4 linked regions of the Saccharomyces cerevisiae S288C genome follow. The protein of the gene in region 4 purifies or fractionates together with the protein of the main gene of each other region. This does not show direct contact. Each region holds a gene or a part of one and is shown on either strand. Other genes may lie near its edges.

The links.
Region 1: the proteins of UTP21 (region 4) and UTP13 purify together in Saccharomyces cerevisiae (affinity purification with mass spectrometry; 6 studies listed by BioGRID). This does not show direct contact.
Region 2: the proteins of UTP21 (region 4) and MPP10 purify together in Saccharomyces cerevisiae (affinity purification with mass spectrometry; 4 studies listed by BioGRID, with this or other methods). This does not show direct contact.
Region 3: the proteins of UTP21 (region 4) and UTP10 purify together in Saccharomyces cerevisiae (affinity purification with mass spectrometry; 6 studies listed by BioGRID). This does not show direct contact.

The regions. Positions count from the first base shown.
Region 1 is NC_001144.5:578,770-583,475, reverse strand, and holds UTP13 (U3 snoRNA-associated protein UTP13), read left to right. Parts: upstream 1-1,704; coding exon 1,705-4,158; downstream 4,159-4,706. Other genes in the region: IFH1 (Ifh1p), read left to right, coding at 1-1,243; RSA3 (Rsa3p), read left to right, coding at 4,452-4,706. UniProt on the Saccharomyces cerevisiae protein: Involved in nucleolar processing of pre-18S ribosomal RNA.
Region 2 is NC_001142.9:437,020-441,146, forward strand, and holds MPP10 (rRNA-processing protein MPP10), read left to right. Parts: upstream 1-1,845; coding exon 1,846-3,627; downstream 3,628-4,127. Other genes in the region: AVT1 (Avt1p), read left to right, coding at 1-1,591; MRX12 (Mrx12p), read right to left, coding at 3,975-4,127. UniProt on the Saccharomyces cerevisiae protein: Involved in nucleolar processing of pre-18S ribosomal RNA. Required for the early cleavages at sites A0, A1 and A2 during 18S ribosomal pre-RNA processing.
Region 3 is NC_001142.9:211,473-218,918, reverse strand, and holds UTP10 (snoRNA-binding rRNA-processing protein UTP10), read left to right. Parts: upstream 1-1,609; coding exon 1,610-6,919; downstream 6,920-7,446. Other genes in the region: YJL107C (uncharacterized protein), read left to right, coding at 1-66; pheromone-regulated protein PRM10, read left to right, coding at 63-1,214; GZF3 (Gzf3p), read left to right, coding at 7,342-7,446. UniProt on the Saccharomyces cerevisiae protein: Involved in nucleolar processing of pre-18S ribosomal RNA. Required for optimal pre-ribosomal RNA transcription by RNA polymerase I together with a subset of U3 proteins required for transcription (t-UTPs). Involved in ribosome biosynthesis.
Region 4 is NC_001144.5:933,876-939,003, reverse strand, and holds UTP21 (rRNA-processing protein UTP21), read left to right. Parts: upstream 1-1,770; coding exon 1,771-4,590; downstream 4,591-5,128. Other genes in the region: inositol polyphosphate kinase VIP1, read right to left, coding at 1-1,463; BLS1 (Bls1p), read left to right, coding at 4,751-5,119. UniProt on the Saccharomyces cerevisiae protein: Involved in nucleolar processing of pre-18S ribosomal RNA and ribosome assembly.

The sequences.
Region 1 (4,706 bases), 360 kb from region 4:
TGTTGTGTACGTTGATGACGAATCCACAGATGAAGATGATAACCTACCGCCCCCAAGTTCAAGGTCAAAAAACATTGGCTCAAAAGCAAAGGAAATCGTAAGTTCAAATGTTGTTGGATTACGTCCACCAAAATTGGGTACTTGGGAGACGGACAACAAACCTTTTAGTATTATTGATGGTCTGTCTACTAAATCATTATACGCCTTAATCCAAGAACATCAACAGCTTCGCGAGCAACATCAAAGGGCTCAAACCCCAGATGTTAAAAGAGAGGGAAGCTCTAATGGCAATAACGGTGACGAATTGACACTCAATGAGCTGCTAAACATGAGTGAATTGGAGGATGATTCACCATCCCACACAGACGATATGGAGAACAATTACAATGATGCAATTAATAGCAAAAGCACAAATGGCCATGCTGCAGATTGGTATGAAGTTCCTAAGGTTCCATTATCTGCATTTAGAAATAAGGGTATTAATGCCTATGAAGAAGATGAGTACATGATACCAGCAAATTCTAACAGAAAAGTTCCCATTGGCTATATTGGTAATGAAAGAACAAGAAAGAAGATTGATAAGATGAAAGAGCTACAACGGAAAAAAACTGAAAAAAAAAGGCAGTTAAAGAAAAAAAAGAAGCTTCTTAAAATAAGAAAGCAAAGACAAAAGGCAATAAAGGAGCAAGAAACTATGAATTTACAATTGGGAATCAATGGCCATGAGATCATCGGTAACAATAACAGCCATAGCGACATAAATACCGGTACCGATTTTACAACCAATGAAAATACCCCTATGAATGAACTTCCCTCTCACGCACCTGAAGATGCGTCATTAATACCTCATAATTCTGATCTTGCCGTGGACAGCAATACAAGGAAAAATTCAACAAAAAGTGTTGGTTTAGATGAAATTCATGAGATTTTGGGCAAAGATGAAAATGACTTACTGTCTGTAGGTGATATTAACGGTTATGATGCACAAGAAGGTCATGTGATCGAAGATACTGACGCCGATATCCTAGCATCGTTAACCGCTCCTGTGCAATTCGACAATACATTAAGCCATGAAAATAGTAATTCCATGTGGAGAAGAAGGCAAAGTATGGTGGAAGCAGCGGCTGAAAATCTTCGTTTCACTAAAAATGGTTTATTTAGTGAGAGTGCATTGGCAGATATCGAAGGAATTATGGGCAATGATGTTAACCATTCATTCGAATTCAATGACGTCTTACAATGAGCTATTTTGCATTTTTTTATGGTTACTACAATCAAATCACCTTTCGTTTACAATATCATCATCAGTATGTGACTTTGCCTTATTCTACTCTGAATTTTGCTTTATCGTTGGTTGAAAAGAATTACATGTTATTTTTTTACTTATATATGCATATTTTTATAGAAAAACACAATCAATATTTTTTTTACTGGTATAATCCGTCCAATCAGACGTATAAAAGTAAATAAGCCTCAAGCAACCCCATTTGATGGATTGCCTTACTCTTCGACTCTAGTTGAGATGATAACCTCATCCACTCTTCTGGCGATTAAGATGGAGCTTCTTAATATATCCGTGTAAAGCGACTGAAAATTTTCTGAAAAATTCAGCTCATCGCTCTCAGATATAATAGCGGTATGGCATTAAAGGTGTGAACCAACAACATAGTACTCTCAACGGTAGTAAGCCATACTACGTACAATATGGATCTGAAAACCTCATATAAAGGTATATCGTTAAACCCTATTTATGCAGGAAGCAGTGCTGTTGCCACTGTTTCAGAAAATGGTAAAATACTAGCTACTCCGGTGCTTGACGAAATCAACATAATCGATTTAACCCCAGGCTCCAGAAAAATTTTGCACAAGATTTCTAATGAAGACGAGCAAGAAATTACTGCACTGAAATTAACTCCTGATGGTCAATATCTCACGTATGTTTCACAAGCTCAGCTTTTAAAAATCTTTCACCTTAAGACCGGGAAAGTTGTCAGATCAATGAAAATCTCTTCTCCATCGTACATTCTCGACGCAGATTCCACTTCAACGCTTCTCGCAGTCGGAGGGACAGATGGTAGTATAATTGTTGTGGATATTGAAAATGGTTACATTACTCATTCGTTCAAAGGTCATGGTGGTACAATTTCCAGTTTGAAGTTTTATGGACAATTGAATAGTAAAATATGGTTATTAGCATCCGGTGACACCAATGGTATGGTAAAGGTTTGGGATCTTGTTAAAAGGAAGTGCTTGCACACATTACAAGAGCACACATCTGCTGTGAGAGGGTTGGATATCATTGAGGTACCAGATAATGATGAGCCAAGCCTAAATTTACTTTCCGGTGGTAGAGACGATATCATCAATCTCTGGGATTTCAATATGAAAAAGAAATGTAAATTGTTGAAAACACTTCCAGTAAATCAACAGGTAGAGTCATGCGGATTCCTAAAGGATGGTGACGGTAAACGCATAATTTATACAGCCGGCGGTGATGCTATCTTTCAGTTAATTGACTCTGAATCTGGTAGCGTGCTTAAAAGAACCAATAAACCTATAGAAGAGTTATTCATTATTGGTGTACTTCCAATATTGAGCAATTCACAGATGTTTTTAGTATTGTCTGACCAGACATTACAACTAATTAACGTTGAAGAAGACTTAAAGAATGATGAAGACACAATACAGGTCACTTCGAGCATTGCTGGTAATCATGGTATTATTGCTGACATGAGGTATGTTGGCCCAGAGCTGAATAAATTAGCTTTAGCTACCAATTCTCCATCGCTTAGGATAATACCCGTCCCCGATTTATCAGGCCCAGAAGCTTCGCTGCCTTTGGATGTCGAAATTTATGAAGGTCATGAAGATTTGCTAAATTCATTGGATGCTACTGAGGATGGCCTGTGGATCGCAACCGCCTCTAAAGATAATACGGCTATTGTTTGGAGATACAATGAGAACAGCTGCAAGTTTGATATTTATGCCAAGTATATTGGTCATTCAGCTGCCGTAACTGCTGTTGGATTGCCAAATATAGTTTCAAAGGGATATCCTGAATTTTTATTGACAGCATCGAATGATTTAACAATTAAGAAATGGATAATTCCAAAGCCAACTGCTAGTATGGATGTTCAAATCATCAAGGTATCCGAATATACTCGTCATGCCCATGAAAAGGATATCAATGCTTTGTCAGTTTCTCCTAACGATTCTATTTTTGCAACAGCATCATACGACAAGACCTGTAAGATCTGGAACCTAGAAAATGGTGAATTGGAAGCCACGTTGGCCAACCACAAGCGTGGACTATGGGATGTATCATTTTGCCAATATGATAAATTATTGGCAACTTCTTCAGGTGATAAAACAGTCAAGATATGGTCATTGGATACATTCAGCGTTATGAAAACATTGGAAGGTCATACCAATGCGGTTCAAAGATGTTCGTTTATTAATAAGCAAAAACAACTGATCAGTTGTGGTGCTGATGGCTTGATCAAAATATGGGATTGTTCTAGCGGTGAATGTCTGAAGACTTTGGATGGTCATAATAATAGATTATGGGCTTTAAGTACTATGAATGATGGTGATATGATCGTAAGTGCTGATGCAGATGGTGTTTTTCAGTTTTGGAAAGATTGTACGGAACAAGAAATAGAAGAAGAACAAGAAAAAGCTAAATTACAAGTCGAACAAGAACAATCGCTTCAAAATTATATGAGCAAAGGTGATTGGACAAATGCATTTTTGTTAGCAATGACTTTAGATCACCCAATGAGGTTGTTTAATGTTTTGAAAAGAGCTTTGGGCGAATCAAGGTCTAGACAAGATACCGAAGAGGGCAAAATTGAAGTCATTTTCAATGAAGAATTGGACCAAGCCATCTCTATCCTAAATGATGAACAGTTAATTTTGTTAATGAAACGATGCAGAGATTGGAATACAAATGCAAAAACACATACCATAGCGCAAAGAACAATAAGATGTATTTTGATGCATCATAACATAGCAAAATTGAGTGAGATACCCGGAATGGTAAAGATAGTTGATGCAATAATTCCATACACGCAAAGGCATTTCACAAGGGTTGATAACTTAGTTGAACAAAGTTACATATTAGACTACGCGCTAGTGGAAATGGATAAGCTATTCTAGGCAGTAAGTCCAAGATATTGAGCCTTTAAAAGCAAGGCAATAGCAACATATTATTTTGTAAACTAGATATATAAAGACAAAATGCATTGATGAAGCGGAAAGCTTAAAATAATTCGATATATAATTAGGTGCCTTTACGGGCATTGAAAACTTCTTTGCGCGAAGAGCTCATCACTAAAAATTTGCAAAAAACGAAGAGCGAAAACTTTCATATATTGTAGTAATATATACAAGAATTTAAACTGCCCACTTGAAATAGCACGGAAAGAACTAGCCATAATATATTATACAGGATGTCGGCAGGTGATATATCAGCCATAAATATCAAGTCTGTCAAAAAAAACAGAAGGAGGAAGAAGAGAAGAACAGCTGATGTTTCATCATCAGATTCTTCATCATCGGATCCATCATCAGAAAGTGAAAAGGAGGAAATCCAAAATGGGGCCATCGAAGAACACGTTGGAGAAAATGGTAAAAGTGATCATGTTTTCTCAAAAGGTAATGACGAAGACAAACAAGAGGACATTGCAATAGAAGTTTCGGATGTC
Region 2 (4,127 bases), on a different chromosome or scaffold from region 4:
GAGAGCCAATTCGTTTCGTAATATCGAGCTAAATGCGGATAATGAAAGATCCTTTTTCAAAGAGAGTAACGATGAAACCTACGATCCGGATACTTTAGCACCAGCTTTGGACGGTAGAAGATTATCAGTAACTTTAAATAATGCTGGTCGCCCGCGCATTACTAATTTGGCTAACAACGATAGAGTTAGTACAGCCAGCATGGCTATTCACGATGATGATTATGGGTCCATCCAAAATTCAACAATTGGGGATTCTGGGTCAATATTACGCCCTACTGCCTCCTTAACAGAAATGATGAGTGGTGGAGCGGGGAGAAGGTTTACAAATAATGACATGGATTCAATTGTAGTGAAGAGAGTGGAGGGTGTAGATGGTAAGGTAGTAACTCTTCTTGCTGGTCAGTCGACCGCTCCACAGACCATATTCAACTCAATCAATGTACTGATTGGTATTGGGCTCCTGGCGTTACCTCTTGGTTTGAAATACGCCGGCTGGGTTATAGGACTTACTATGCTTGCAATCTTCGCCTTAGCGACATTTTGTACTGCTGAACTTTTGTCTAGGTGCCTAGATACAGATCCAACTTTGATATCTTACGCGGACTTGGGATATGCAGCATTTGGTACAAAAGGGCGCGCACTAATTTCTGCTCTTTTCACACTTGACCTACTGGGTAGTGGGGTGTCCTTGGTGATTCTCTTCGGAGATTCTTTAAATGCTCTATTTCCTCAATACTCCACCACTTTTTTCAAAATAGTTTCATTTTTTATCGTTACACCCCCGGTTTTTATACCATTGAGTGTTCTATCTAATATCTCGCTTCTGGGAATCCTTTCAACAACCGGAACTGTGCTAGTCATTTGCTGCTGCGGACTATACAAGTCGTCTTCTCCAGGTTCATTAGTTAATCCGATGGAAACGAGCATGTGGCCGATAGATCTAAAGCATCTCTGTTTATCTATAGGTTTATTGAGTGCCTGCTGGGGAGGACATGCGGTTTTTCCCAACTTAAAGACAGATATGAGGCATCCAGATAAATTTAAAGACTGTTTGAAAACTACCTATAAGATAACATCGGTTACGGACATAGGTACTGCAGTTATTGGCTTTTTGATGTTTGGAAATCTTGTTAAAGATGAAATTACTAAGAACGTTTTGCTGACGGAGGGATATCCAAAATTCGTTTATGGTCTGATTTCAGCGCTTATGACTATCATTCCTATCGCAAAGACCCCATTGAACGCAAGACCTATCGTTTCTGTATTGGACGTTCTGATGAATGTGCAACACATAGATGAAGCGGCCAGCGCCATAAAAAGAAGAGCTGCGAAAGGCCTTCAAGTATTCAATAGGATCTTTATTAATGTTGTCTTCGTTTTGATAGCTATTAATTTCCCTGAATTTGATAAGATTATCGCATTTCTGGGGGCCGGTTTGTGTTTTACAATTTGCCTAATTTTGCCGTGTTGGTTCTATTTAAGATTGTGCAAGACAACAATCAAACCATGGGAGAGAGTGGCTTGTCACGTAACCATATGTATTAGTGTCGTGTTGTCCACATTAGGTGTTGGTGCTGCAATTATTTCATAATCGACGAGGGGCATACTTACTCTACTTAAAATTCATTTACATTAGCTCTGTACTTCTGATAATGAAAAACCATTGCGTAATATACATATTTTCGTGTAGAATTATTTCCATAAAATATTCACCGCCTTTTCTGTACTGGCCGCCGGCATGCGAGGGAAGCAGAAAATTTTCAATTTTGCGATGAGCTCTTGAAGAAACAGTGTTTTGTTATGAATAAATGATGTGTGCACGAAAGACCCAAGGAAAGTCGTATAATGTCAGAACTCTTTGGAGTATTGAAATCTAATGCTGGCAGAATTATTTTGAAGGACCCCTCCGCCACTTCTAAAGATGTTAAAGCATATATAGATTCAGTTATCAATACCTGTAAGAATGGGAGTATTACAAAGAAAGCAGAACTGGACGAAATCACTGTTGATGGTTTAGACGCCAATCAAGTTTGGTGGCAGGTCAAACTAGTTCTTGATAGTATTGATGGTGATCTAATTCAAGGAATTCAAGAACTCAAAGATGTTGTCACGCCTTCTCACAATCTCTCTGATGGTAGCACCCTGAACTCATCATCCGGGGAAGAAAGTGAACTAGAGGAGGCAGAAAGTGTTTTTAAAGAAAAGCAGATGCTCTCTGCTGATGTTTCTGAGATTGAGGAGCAGAGTAATGATAGTCTTTCCGAGAACGATGAAGAACCTAGTATGGATGACGAAAAAACCAGTGCAGAGGCAGCTAGAGAAGAATTTGCGGAGGAAAAAAGAATTTCTTCTGGGCAAGATGAAAGGCATTCTTCACCCGATCCTTATGGTATCAATGATAAGTTTTTCGATCTCGAAAAGTTCAATAGGGATACTTTAGCTGCAGAAGATTCTAACGAAGCTTCTGAGGGGAGTGAGGATGAAGATATAGATTATTTTCAAGATATGCCTTCAGATGACGAGGAGGAGGAGGCTATTTATTATGAAGACTTTTTTGACAAACCCACAAAAGAACCTGTGAAGAAGCACTCTGACGTAAAAGATCCAAAAGAAGATGAAGAATTGGATGAAGAAGAGCATGATTCTGCCATGGATAAAGTGAAATTAGACTTATTTGCGGATGAGGAAGATGAACCGAATGCTGAGGGAGTGGGAGAAGCCAGTGACAAGAACTTATCTAGTTTCGAAAAGCAACAAATAGAGATTAGAAAACAGATAGAACAATTGGAAAACGAAGCGGTTGCCGAGAAGAAATGGTCTTTGAAGGGTGAAGTAAAGGCAAAGGATCGTCCCGAAGATGCATTGCTCACTGAGGAACTTGAATTCGACAGAACTGCAAAGCCTGTTCCTGTTATAACAAGTGAGGTCACAGAATCATTAGAAGATATGATTAGACGAAGGATACAGGACAGTAACTTTGACGACCTTCAAAGAAGAACCCTGTTAGACATCACACGTAAGTCTCAACGGCCTCAATTTGAATTGAGTGATGTTAAATCCTCGAAGTCGTTAGCAGAAATATATGAGGATGACTACACACGCGCTGAAGATGAATCTGCATTAAGTGAAGAGCTTCAAAAGGCACATTCCGAAATATCAGAACTTTATGCTAACTTGGTATATAAATTGGATGTGCTTTCATCAGTGCACTTCGTTCCTAAGCCAGCAAGTACTTCTTTGGAAATTAGAGTTGAAACACCCACTATATCGATGGAGGATGCTCAACCTCTCTATATGTCGAATGCCTCTTCTTTGGCTCCTCAAGAGATATACAATGTCGGTAAAGCAGAAAAGGACGGAGAAATTCGCTTGAAGAATGGTGTTGCAATGTCTAAGGAAGAATTAACCAGAGAAGATAAAAACAGATTGCGCAGGGCTTTGAAAAGAAAAAGATCGAAAGCTAATTTGCCAAATGTAAACAAAAGATCTAAAAGGAATGATGTTGTTGACACTTTGTCAAAAGCCAAGAATATTACTGTTATCAATCAAAAGGGTGAAAAGAAAGATGTTTCCGGTAAAACGAAGAAGAGCAGATCAGGGCCAGATAGCACAAATATAAAACTTTGAACACGCCGAAGAAGACTTAGTTTGTATTTAGGTAAAAAATTATTTCTTCATAACTCTGTTCACCCAGCATTTTTTATGGAATATCGACCTTGTAATGTCATTAACCCCTTAAAGGACCACTTAAAGAAAATGAAGTGCATCATGAAATATTCATGACGAGATGCGGAACATATACACTCATAAATACCAGAAGAATGTGCTGAATAATTTTTTGTTGGTAATTGGCTGTCATTTAAAGTATCGTTGAAACAAGAGGTATTGGAAGATAGCTAATTTTAGTATTATTTATGACGTTCTTTCCTGGATAAATGTAGATGTATATACGTAATAAAATGTTAATTAGTAAGTTATATGCTTTCCATATAATGTTCTATCTTAGTCTGCATAACTTGTTTGCTTGTTTTTGTTTCTAACGCTTCTCCATACTGGGCTAAGAGATTTTTTATTTTTTTTGCAGCAGTCGGCCCTGATATCAGCTTTTCTCCTAGTGCGCCATCAAA
Region 3 (7,446 bases), on a different chromosome or scaffold from region 4:
TATATGGTTATGACTTCTAGAGTCCTTGAAATAGATGGTCAGTTTTGTATCTTCCAGGTTGTATGATTGTTTCATTTGGTGATGCAACAACAAGAACTTCCGAAGTTCAATTGGTTAGGTGTACTCAAGGTCTAAACCTTTGGAAGCTGCATCAAGTTCATGCCGTTTACAAAAGAGTTGTCCATGATACCTTAGGTGCCGATGAAGGTAATGCTTTACTCGATCAAATTTTGGCTGACACGAATCTATATCCACCTTGGATGTGTGTTCTTTTATATGCATTTTGTTCCGCTATGGTCACTCCGTATGCCTTTGGTGGCGATTGGGTAAACCTGGCAATCTCATTTTTTATGGGGCTTTGTGTGGGGTCATTACAATTTATTCTTTCACAAAAGTCATACATGTATTCAAACGTCTTCGAAATTTCTGCATCTATTGTCGTTAGCTTCTGCGGTAGAGCTTTTGGCTCTATCCCTCGTTCTCACATCTGCTTTGGTGCAGTTACACAAGGCTCATTGGCATTAATCCTGCCAGGTTATATTATTCTGTGTGGTGCACTAGAACTGCAAAGTCGAAGCCTAGTTGCTGGCGCGGTCCGTATGTTCTACGCCATTATTTATTCTTTGTTTTTGGGTTTTGGCATAACATTGGGCTCAGCTTTGTTTGGATGGATGTATCACAATGCCACTAACGAAATTTCATGTCCTCAATTAATTTCTCCGTGGTTCAGGTTCCTCTTCGTTCCAGCGTTTACCATTAGTATCTCGTTATTAAATCAAGCACACATCTCACAACTGCCAGTTATGGTCTTCATTTCTTGCACCGGTTATGTCGTAACATATTGGGCCGGTAAGCATTTTGCGAATTCGACAGAGTTTACTGCCGCCTTAGCTGCATTTGTCATAGGTGTTTTAGGTAATCTATATTCCAGAATTTGGAAAGGTTTAGCGGTATCAGCTATGCTTCCCGCAATCTTCGTTCAAGTGCCATCTGGTATTGCTTCACAAAATTCGTTGTTGTCTGGGTTGCAAAGTGCAAATACAATTGTTAATGCTAATGAAACCATTACGACAAGCACCTCCGATCCATCGTCCTCAATGTCATTTGGTATGACAATGATTCAAGTTTGTGTCGGTATTTCTGTGGGACTATTTGCTTCTTCACTCTTTGTCTACCCCTTTGGTAAAAAGAAAACTGGTCTTTTCAGTTTATAAGCTCTCACAAGGTCCACTTCGTTAGAAACTTGTTAACCAATGGACCAAGTGTTGCCATTGGGTCATTCTTCAGTATCAAAGAAGACTTTGACCCACTAAGAAAAATTTCAAAAGTAAATTATAAATATAGCATTAAGTACAAATAACATATCAGCTTATGAATCCTTTTTTTCAATTTTATGGTTTCATAGCCAATAATCATAACATACATAGATTAATAATATTCAAGTCACATGACTTTTTTTTTTTTCTTTTTTCTTTCTGCGTTAAGCAAAGAAAAAAATTTTCAGTTAGCGATGAGCTAGATATTTTCGAAGGTGTAACAAATACTTTCTTTATTACCTTTCAGAATCAGACTTATCTAACTGGCCACCAAAGTACGAATAACTTTGAAAATGTCTTCGTTGAGTGACCAATTAGCTCAAGTTGCTTCCAACAATGCTACTGTTGCGTTGGATAGAAAGAGAAGACAAAAACTTCATTCTGCTTCTTTGATTTATAACTCAAAGACGGCTGCAACACAAGATTACGATTTCATTTTTGAAAACGCTAGTAAGGCTCTTGAAGAATTGAGCCAAATTGAGCCAAAATTTGCCATTTTCTCAAGAACACTCTTTTCAGAGTCTTCCATTTCTCTTGATAGAAATGTCCAAACAAAAGAAGAAATTAAAGATTTGGATAATGCTATCAATGCTTACTTGCTATTGGCTTCTTCTAAATGGTATTTAGCACCTACACTACATGCAACAGAATGGTTGGTTCGTCGTTTTCAAATACATGTTAAAAACACAGAGATGCTGCTTTTGTCCACTCTCAACTACTACCAAACACCTGTCTTTAAGAGAATTCTCAGCATTATTAAGTTGCCCCCTTTGTTTAATTGTTTGTCGAATTTTGTTAGAAGTGAAAAGCCCCCAACGGCGCTAACCATGATAAAGCTCTTTAATGACATGGATTTTCTGAAACTTTATACCAGTTATTTGGATCAATGTATTAAGCATAATGCAACGTATACTAACCAGCTTTTATTTACAACATGCTGCTTTATTAACGTTGTTGCTTTCAATTCAAACAACGATGAAAAACTGAATCAGCTTGTTCCAATCTTACTTGAAATATCTGCTAAACTTTTAGCCTCTAAATCAAAGGATTGTCAAATAGCTGCACATACCATATTAGTTGTATTTGCTACAGCTTTGCCTTTAAAGAAAACAATTATCTTAGCTGCCATGGAAACCATTCTTTCAAACTTAGATGCTAAAGAGGCAAAACATTCAGCACTCCTCACGATTTGTAAGCTGTTCCAAACATTAAAAGGACAAGGTAACGTAGATCAGCTACCTTCCAAAATTTTCAAGTTATTTGATAGCAAGTTCGACACTGTGTCTATACTAACCTTCTTAGATAAGGAAGACAAACCAGTTTGTGATAAATTCATTACTTCCTATACAAGATCCATAGCAAGGTATGATCGGTCCAAATTGAACATTATTCTTAGCCTACTAAAAAAAATAAGACTAGAAAGATACGAAGTTAGGTTGATAATCACTGATTTGATTTACCTTTCCGAAATTTTAGAGGACAAGTCACAATTAGTAGAACTATTCGAATATTTTATCTCCATAAATGAAGATTTGGTGTTAAAATGTTTGAAATCATTGGGACTGACAGGCGAACTCTTCGAAATCAGGCTTACTACATCTTTGTTCACTAATGCCGATGTTAACACCGACATTGTAAAGCAGTTAAGCGACCCCGTGGAAACTACTAAAAAGGATACCGCTTCATTTCAAACATTCTTGGATAAGCATTCAGAATTGATAAACACAACGAATGTGTCCATGCTAACAGAAACTGGAGAAAGATACAAAAAGGTTTTATCTTTATTCACTGAAGCTATTGGTAAAGGCTATAAAGCAAGTTCCTTCTTGACTTCATTTTTCACTACTTTAGAATCAAGAATAACGTTTTTGTTAAGAGTAACTATATCTCCAGCCGCTCCAACCGCGCTAAAGCTAATATCTTTAAACAATATTGCAAAATATATTAATAGTATTGAAAAGGAAGTTAATATTTTTACTTTAGTTCCATGCTTGATTTGCGCTTTGCGAGATGCTTCTATAAAAGTTAGGACTGGCGTGAAGAAGATTCTTTCCTTGATTGCTAAAAGACCATCCACTAAGCACTACTTTTTGTCTGATAAACTTTACGGAGAGAACGTTACCATTCCTATGTTAAATCCCAAAGATAGTGAGGCATGGTTATCAGGATTTTTGAATGAGTACGTTACTGAGAATTATGACATATCCAGAATTTTAACGCCAAAGAGAAATGAAAAAGTCTTTTTGATGTTTTGGGCTAATCAAGCCCTACTAATACCTTCTCCGTATGCCAAGACAGTGTTGTTGGATAACCTGAACAAGAGTCCGACTTATGCATCTTCTTATTCCTCCCTATTTGAGGAATTTATTTCCCACTACTTAGAAAACAGATCTAGTTGGGAAAAGAGTTGTATTGCTAATAAAACAAACTTTGAGCATTTTGAGCGCTCTTTAGTTAATTTGGTATCACCAAAAGAAAAGCAGTCATTCATGATCGATTTTGTTCTCAGTGCTCTTAACTCAGATTATGAGCAGTTAGCTAACATAGCTGCCGAGAGGCTTATCAGCATATTCGCTTCATTAAATAATGCTCAAAAACTAAAAATCGTCCAAAATATCGTGGATTCTTCGAGTAACGTAGAATCATCGTACGATACAGTCGGTGTACTACAATCATTGCCGTTAGATTCCGATATTTTTGTATCCATACTAAATCAAAACAGTATCAGTAACGAAATGGATCAGACAGACTTTTCTAAAAGAAGAAGAAGACGTTCATCAACAAGTAAAAACGCATTTTTGAAAGAGGAGGTTTCGCAACTGGCGGAATTGCACCTGAGAAAGTTGACGATTATTTTGGAAGCACTTGATAAAGTCAGAAATGTTGGATCCGAAAAGCTTTTGTTCACTTTACTTTCCTTATTATCAGATCTGGAAACTTTGGATCAAGACGGTGGATTACCGGTTTTATATGCGCAAGAAACTTTGATTTCTTGTACGCTGAACACTATCACATACTTGAAGGAACATGGCTGTACAGAACTAACCAACGTAAGGGCAGATATATTGGTATCCGCTATTAGAAATTCTGCATCTCCGCAAGTCCAAAACAAACTATTACTTGTAATTGGATCTCTTGCTACTTTAAGTTCGGAAGTTATTTTGCATTCTGTAATGCCTATCTTTACTTTTATGGGAGCCCATAGTATTCGTCAAGATGATGAATTCACAACTAAAGTTGTTGAGCGTACGATACTAACTGTTGTCCCTGCCTTGATCAAGAATAGCAAAGGAAATGAAAAAGAGGAAATGGAGTTCCTTTTGTTGAGCTTCACAACCGCTTTGCAACATGTTCCAAGACATAGGAGGGTTAAATTATTTTCTACGTTAATCAAAACACTTGATCCAGTAAAGGCACTGGGCTCGTTCCTTTTCTTGATTGCACAACAGTATTCTTCAGCTTTAGTCAACTTTAAAATTGGCGAGGCAAGAATATTAATTGAGTTTATTAAGGCCCTACTCGTTGATCTACATGTCAATGAGGAATTATCAGGTTTGAATGACTTACTCGATATCATCAAATTGTTGACATCATCAAAGAGCTCCTCGGAAAAGAAGAAATCACTAGAATCCCGTGTCTTGTTTTCAAATGGTGTCTTGAATTTTTCGGAAAGTGAATTTTTGACATTTATGAACAATACCTTTGAGTTTATCAATAAAATAACCGAGGAAACAGATCAAGATTATTACGATGTGAGGAGAAATTTAAGACTAAAGGTATATTCTGTTTTGTTAGATGAAACAAGCGATAAAAAGTTAATTAGAAACATCAGGGAAGAATTTGGAACCCTTTTAGAAGGTGTTCTTTTTTTCATTAATTCTGTAGAATTAACCTTTTCATGTATAACTTCCCAAGAAAATGAGGAAGCTTCCGACTCTGAAACATCATTATCAGATCACACGACTGAAATAAAGGAGATTCTATTCAAGGTGCTTGGCAATGTGTTACAAATTCTACCAGTTGACGAGTTTGTTAATGCGGTATTACCCTTACTCAGTACATCCACTAATGAAGATATTAGATACCACCTAACGTTGGTAATAGGGTCCAAATTCGAGTTAGAAGGCTCTGAAGCTATTCCTATAGTTAACAATGTGATGAAGGTTTTGCTCGACAGAATGCCTTTGGAATCTAAATCTGTTGTTATTTCTCAAGTAATATTGAACACGATGACGGCTTTAGTGAGCAAATATGGTAAGAAGCTTGAGGGGTCCATATTAACTCAAGCCCTCACCCTTGCTACTGAAAAAGTTAGTTCTGATATGACAGAGGTCAAGATATCTTCGTTGGCATTGATAACTAACTGTGTTCAAGTTTTAGGAGTCAAGTCAATTGCGTTCTATCCAAAAATAGTCCCACCTTCTATTAAATTATTTGATGCTTCATTGGCAGATAGTAGTAACCCATTAAAAGAGCAGTTGCAAGTTGCTATACTGTTGCTGTTCGCCGGTCTAATCAAAAGGATACCAAGTTTCTTGATGTCAAATATTTTGGATGTTTTGCATGTTATTTATTTTTCCCGTGAAGTTGACAGCAGCATTAGGCTGTCAGTAATTTCATTGATAATTGAGAATATAGATTTGAAGGAAGTTTTGAAAGTTTTATTCAGAATTTGGTCCACTGAAATAGCAACGTCCAATGATACAGTTGCTGTTAGTCTATTTTTGAGTACATTAGAATCCACTGTTGAAAATATTGATAAAAAATCCGCAACCTCACAATCGCCAATATTTTTTAAGTTACTATTATCTTTATTCGAATTTAGATCCATTTCCAGTTTCGATAATAATACAATTAGTAGGATAGAGGCATCCGTTCACGAAATTTCCAACTCTTACGTCCTGAAGATGAATGACAAAGTATTTAGACCGCTATTTGTTATATTAGTAAGATGGGCGTTTGACGGTGAAGGCGTTACAAATGCAGGTATCACTGAAACAGAAAGACTGTTGGCATTTTTCAAATTTTTCAACAAGCTTCAAGAAAATTTGAGAGGTATAATTACTTCCTATTTCACGTATTTGTTAGAACCTGTTGATATGTTGTTAAAAAGATTCATTAGCAAGGACATGGAAAACGTTAATTTAAGACGTTTGGTAATCAACTCTCTAACCTCTTCGCTAAAGTTTGATAGAGACGAATACTGGAAATCAACTTCCAGATTCGAGTTAATTTCTGTATCCTTGGTCAATCAACTATCTAATATAGAAAACTCTATTGGGAAGTACCTGGTCAAGGCAATTGGCGCTCTGGCTTCTAACAATAGTGGCGTTGATGAGCATAACCAAATTTTGAATAAACTAATCGTTGAACACATGAAAGCTTCCTGTTCCTCCAATGAAAAATTATGGGCTATTAGAGCCATGAAGTTGATATACTCAAAGATAGGTGAAAGTTGGTTAGTTCTATTGCCACAGCTCGTTCCCGTCATCGCTGAGTTATTGGAAGATGATGATGAAGAGATCGAACGTGAAGTCAGGACCGGTTTGGTCAAGGTTGTTGAAAACGTTTTAGGGGAACCTTTTGATAGGTATTTAGATTAGAAAAAAAAGGTGAAGTATTATGTAAATTTTTGTAAAGTAAAACACTATGCTGTTGAACGAAATCTTTCATTGAAAATATTGTTATTCATTCGTGATAGCTGCCCCTTTCTGAGTTTGAACTTAATATTTCAATTACGCTACTTCAAGTTTCAATGAGATATTATTCTGTCATCTTTCTCGTCGTTCCTAGTGATTAACGTTACTAAAATTACTGATCCTAAATAGCGGGCGAACAGAGTGAAAATTTTCTTATCTTCGCTTATCTGCGCTTATCAATCCTAATCAGTGAAAAATAAGATATAGGCTTGATAATAAGGTAGTTTGAAAGAGAACATATTGCAAGCGGTTGAAGCTATAATACTAGATATACGAATATCATTTCGGGTATTTGTACTGTGCTCTACAATTCTACTGGTAATATTATGGCATCGCAGGCTACAACTCTTCGAGGCTATAACATTAGAAAACGAGATAATGTATTTGAACCAAAATCAAGTGAAAACCTCAACAGCTTAAATCAAAGCGAA
Region 4 (5,128 bases):
ACATCAATGACGTAACTTTTACCAGAAACGCGAAGCAAATCGAAACCACAGATCATTTGTGAAAAAGCTTTGGAAACTTTCCCAGCAATGGTTTTCTCTTCGTCTGATAACTCAGTAATATATCTAACTTCTTTACCATGAGTATTTCTTCTAACTATACCATCAACCACAGGTGATTTCCTAGTTTCAGCGTGACAAAAGTTCTCACCAATCGTATAAGCCTTCACATCTTCGAAATTATCGGTATCCATAAACTGCTCATAAATGTAAGACCCCTCCGTACGAGGATGAACCAAAGTAGGATCAAACTCAGAAGACTTGTTACCAACTTTACGGAATAGACGACGACCGCCTCCTCCGTTCTTAGAATGATAGTATATATAAATGTTGTGGTCTTCACCATCAACGGGCTTTTCAACAAAGGGCTTAGTCATGGTTTTCCCATCAACTTCTAAAGTATCATCATCAACCATTTTCCATTCCGGTTCTTCAACGGGTTTAACTTCTACGCCATGCTCACGTAATTTTGCCCTTAATTCTTCGTTGGCACGGGGACCACCATCTCTACTGATTTCCAGTCTAGGAGGTGTTGGAACGTTGTAGGCTTCTAATACTTGTAGACATAATCTCCTGTCCCACAAAATCTTTTGCATTATTAAATCATTGATAATGAAAGGCTTGCGTAACTTGACGTATTTAATTGCTTTATCTAGGGGAAATCCTGAAGAAAAGAAAGATATCAAAAAGTCGCAAGTTGGCCAATTCTCTATTCTTTCATCTAGAATCACCTTATCTCCAAAAATGACAGTTTCAAATTCACCATGTTCAATTAAACGATTCAAAATGTGTCTCATTGGCTTTGAAAGGACTTTTGCATCCATTGCACATACCCCAATCTTCCCTACCTTGGGTAGCCTAGGTTTGGGATGACTAGTCGAGGATTTGCGTGAAGAAGCTGATGAAGTAGGTACAGAGTTAGTTCCCATGTTAGTCTGCTCAGCGTCCATTGTTCCTTGAGGTAAATGGGGCGATCCGGTCTTGGAGATGGAATTTATGTTATCTGCATCATTGACTATGTTAGAATTGCTGAGCCCCTCAGGATCAGCTTCTGACTTTGATTCACTGTCTGCCTTTTTTAAACCGGAAGTTGTAACTGTATTGGTGTTGTTTCCGTTTCCTAGTGCAGTGCTTATGGTTCTTTGCAGAGTATCATGCACGGTGAGATTCTCTTCACTGTGATCATCTTGAATACCGGGAGGTGGCAATTTCAAAGACATATTTTCGCTAGCTGACGTCTTAGGACTGAAACCCTCCAATATTGGTGCAATAGATTGCATAGCCTTCTGTGTGTTTTTGTTTAGGAAAAGGGGTGACATCTCAGAAGGTGCACTAGGTAAGTTATTTTTTGTCTCTTGTTGAGGAACCTCATCAGATTCAATCGGTTCCTTCTTTATCCCACTCATGACCTTCTGCAATATATTAATATGCTACGAGATGCTTTTGAATTTGTATGAAATGCTCAGTGGGTAATTTAAGTGGTGAACATATTGATTCAATGATTAATTGCATTTTTCCTATCTTAAATAAATGATTTTCTAAAAACATTTTTGAGCACGTGCTTTTTTTTTTTTAACTGAAAAATTTTGAGAAAAATTTCGCGATGAGATTGCTAATGAAATTTAATAAGTCCTAAGCACAATAAATATACAGCGAAACAGCAGCAAGGAATAAGACACTGAAAAGGCTATAGCGAGTTAGGAATAGTACATTATGTCTATCGACTTGAAAAAAAGAAAAGTCGAAGAAGACGTAAGAAGTAGAGGGAAAAATTCTAAGATATTTTCCCCTTTCCGGATTATTGGTAATGTTAGCAATGGTGTTCCTTTTGCTACTGGTACATTGGGATCTACCTTTTACATTGTAACGTGTGTTGGTAAAACATTTCAGATATATGATGCGAATACCTTACATTTACTTTTTGTTTCCGAGAAAGAAACACCATCCTCAATTGTAGCATTATCAGCACACTTTCACTACGTCTACGCAGCATATGAAAACAAGGTTGGTATTTACAAGAGGGGTATTGAGGAACATTTGCTTGAGCTAGAAACTGATGCAAATGTCGAACATTTGTGCATATTCGGAGATTATCTTTGCGCTTCCACCGACGACAATTCCATCTTTATATACAAGAAGTCCGATCCGCAAGATAAATATCCATCAGAATTCTACACTAAACTTACCGTTACTGAAATTCAAGGTGGCGAAATTGTGTCTTTACAACATTTGGCAACTTATTTGAATAAATTAACTGTCGTTACCAAATCTAACGTTTTACTTTTTAACGTCAGAACCGGGAAGCTTGTATTCACATCAAACGAATTTCCAGACCAAATCACAACTGCTGAACCCGCTCCAGTCCTGGATATTATTGCTCTAGGTACCGTGACCGGTGAGGTTATTATGTTTAATATGAGAAAAGGTAAAAGGATCCGCACAATTAAGATTCCGCAATCAAGAATCTCCTCATTGAGTTTCAGAACCGACGGTTCTTCTCATTTGAGTGTGGGAACGAGCAGTGGTGATCTAATATTTTATGATTTAGATCGCCGTTCAAGAATACACGTTTTGAAGAACATTCATAGAGAATCGTACGGTGGTGTCACTCAGGCTACTTTTTTAAATGGTCAACCCATTATTGTTACATCAGGTGGTGACAATTCCCTGAAGGAGTACGTTTTCGATCCGTCATTATCTCAAGGAAGCGGTGATGTAGTTGTTCAACCGCCAAGATATCTACGTTCCAGAGGGGGTCATTCTCAACCACCTTCATACATTGCGTTTGCTGATTCGCAATCACACTTCATGCTATCAGCATCCAAAGATAGATCATTATGGAGCTTTTCTCTGCGTAAAGATGCACAGTCGCAAGAAATGTCACAAAGGTTACACAAGAAACAAGATGGCGGCAGGGTAGGTGGTAGTACAATTAAGTCTAAATTTCCTGAAATAGTGGCTCTTGCAATTGAAAATGCCAGAATAGGTGAATGGGAAAACATTATCACTGCACATAAAGATGAAAAGTTTGCAAGAACCTGGGATATGCGAAATAAAAGAGTTGGCAGGTGGACTTTTGATACTACTGATGATGGATTTGTTAAATCTGTGGCCATGTCGCAATGTGGTAATTTTGGATTCATCGGTTCTTCTAACGGCTCTATCACCATCTATAATATGCAAAGTGGTATACTCCGTAAAAAATACAAATTGCACAAAAGAGCAGTCACCGGTATATCCTTAGATGGTATGAATCGTAAAATGGTTTCTTGTGGACTAGACGGTATTGTTGGTTTTTATGACTTTAACAAGTCAACCTTGTTGGGAAAATTGAAATTGGATGCACCTATTACCGCAATGGTTTATCATCGTTCTTCCGATCTATTTGCATTGGCTTTAGACGACTTATCAATTGTTGTTATTGACGCAGTTACTCAAAGAGTTGTTCGTCAATTATGGGGTCATAGTAATAGAATAACTGCATTTGATTTCTCACCTGAGGGCCGTTGGATTGTTTCCGCTTCTCTAGATTCCACCATTAGAACGTGGGATCTTCCAACCGGAGGATGTATCGATGGTATCATAGTAGATAATGTCGCTACGAATGTAAAGTTTTCTCCGAATGGTGACTTGCTTGCCACTACCCATGTTACTGGTAATGGTATATGCATCTGGACGAACAGAGCACAATTTAAGACAGTATCGACAAGAACCATCGATGAGTCTGAATTTGCAAGAATGGCGTTACCTAGCACATCTGTTCGAGGGAACGACTCGATGTTATCAGGGGCTTTAGAAAGCAATGGAGGAGAAGACCTAAATGATATTGATTTCAACACTTATACATCATTGGAACAGATTGATAAGGAGCTGTTGACTTTATCAATAGGACCTAGAAGTAAAATGAACACATTGCTTCATTTAGATGTTATCAGAAAACGTTCTAAGCCAAAGGAAGCTCCAAAGAAATCAGAAAAGCTTCCATTTTTCTTGCAACTATCTGGGGAAAAGGTTGGGGATGAAGCCTCTGTCAGAGAAGGCATAGCACATGAAACACCAGAAGAAATCCATCGCAGAGATCAAGAAGCACAAAAGAAGTTAGATGCAGAAGAGCAAATGAATAAATTCAAAGTTACAGGAAGATTAGGGTTTGAATCACATTTCACAAAGCAATTACGAGAGGGCTCACAATCCAAGGACTATTCATCATTGCTGGCCACTCTAATAAATTTCTCACCTGCTGCAGTGGATTTGGAGATAAGATCATTGAATTCCTTTGAGCCATTTGATGAAATTGTGTGGTTTATCGACGCGTTAACACAGGGGTTGAAGAGCAATAAAAATTTCGAACTTTATGAAACGTTTATGAGCTTACTGTTTAAGGCACACGGTGATGTTATTCATGCTAACAACAAGAATCAAGATATTGCCTCTGCTCTTCAAAATTGGGAGGATGTACATAAGAAGGAAGACAGATTAGATGATCTTGTGAAGTTTTGCATGGGAGTGGCAGCTTTTGTGACCACCGCGTGAGCATTATATAGAACAAGTATATTAGTAACAAAGGCAGATTGTATATTTTTCTTTTTCCTATGATGTTTTTTGAGAGGGTAACCAAGAATTATTTATTGGGTTTGTTGCAGTGTTCTTAAAGGGTCCCTCCCACATTTAATAAATGATCGACAATAAATAAATGTTCCTTACATTCTCAATGTGTGTGAACTGGATAATCGTAAAAATGCCAAACAGGTCTGAAGAACTTGACCGATTACTCGACAAAATAATCAACTCTCCGCATAGAACAGAAGCCTCGAAGACTTTGCAAGAAATTGAAAATAATCAATCATATATTTTAAATGTACAGTTGAAGAAGTTATTGCGACTTCATGACGACTCATTTAAAAATAAGTGTGTTTCTCCTATTAACTATATGTTGGAAAAGTACACTCCGTATATGGGGCATACCGAAGCATTACAAAAGGAAGCAGAGCTTGTGGATAGGGATCTCCGAATCCTTGAAATGACGTACCAACTGATAGAAAAGAATCGCAACTCGAAATAAAACGATAAA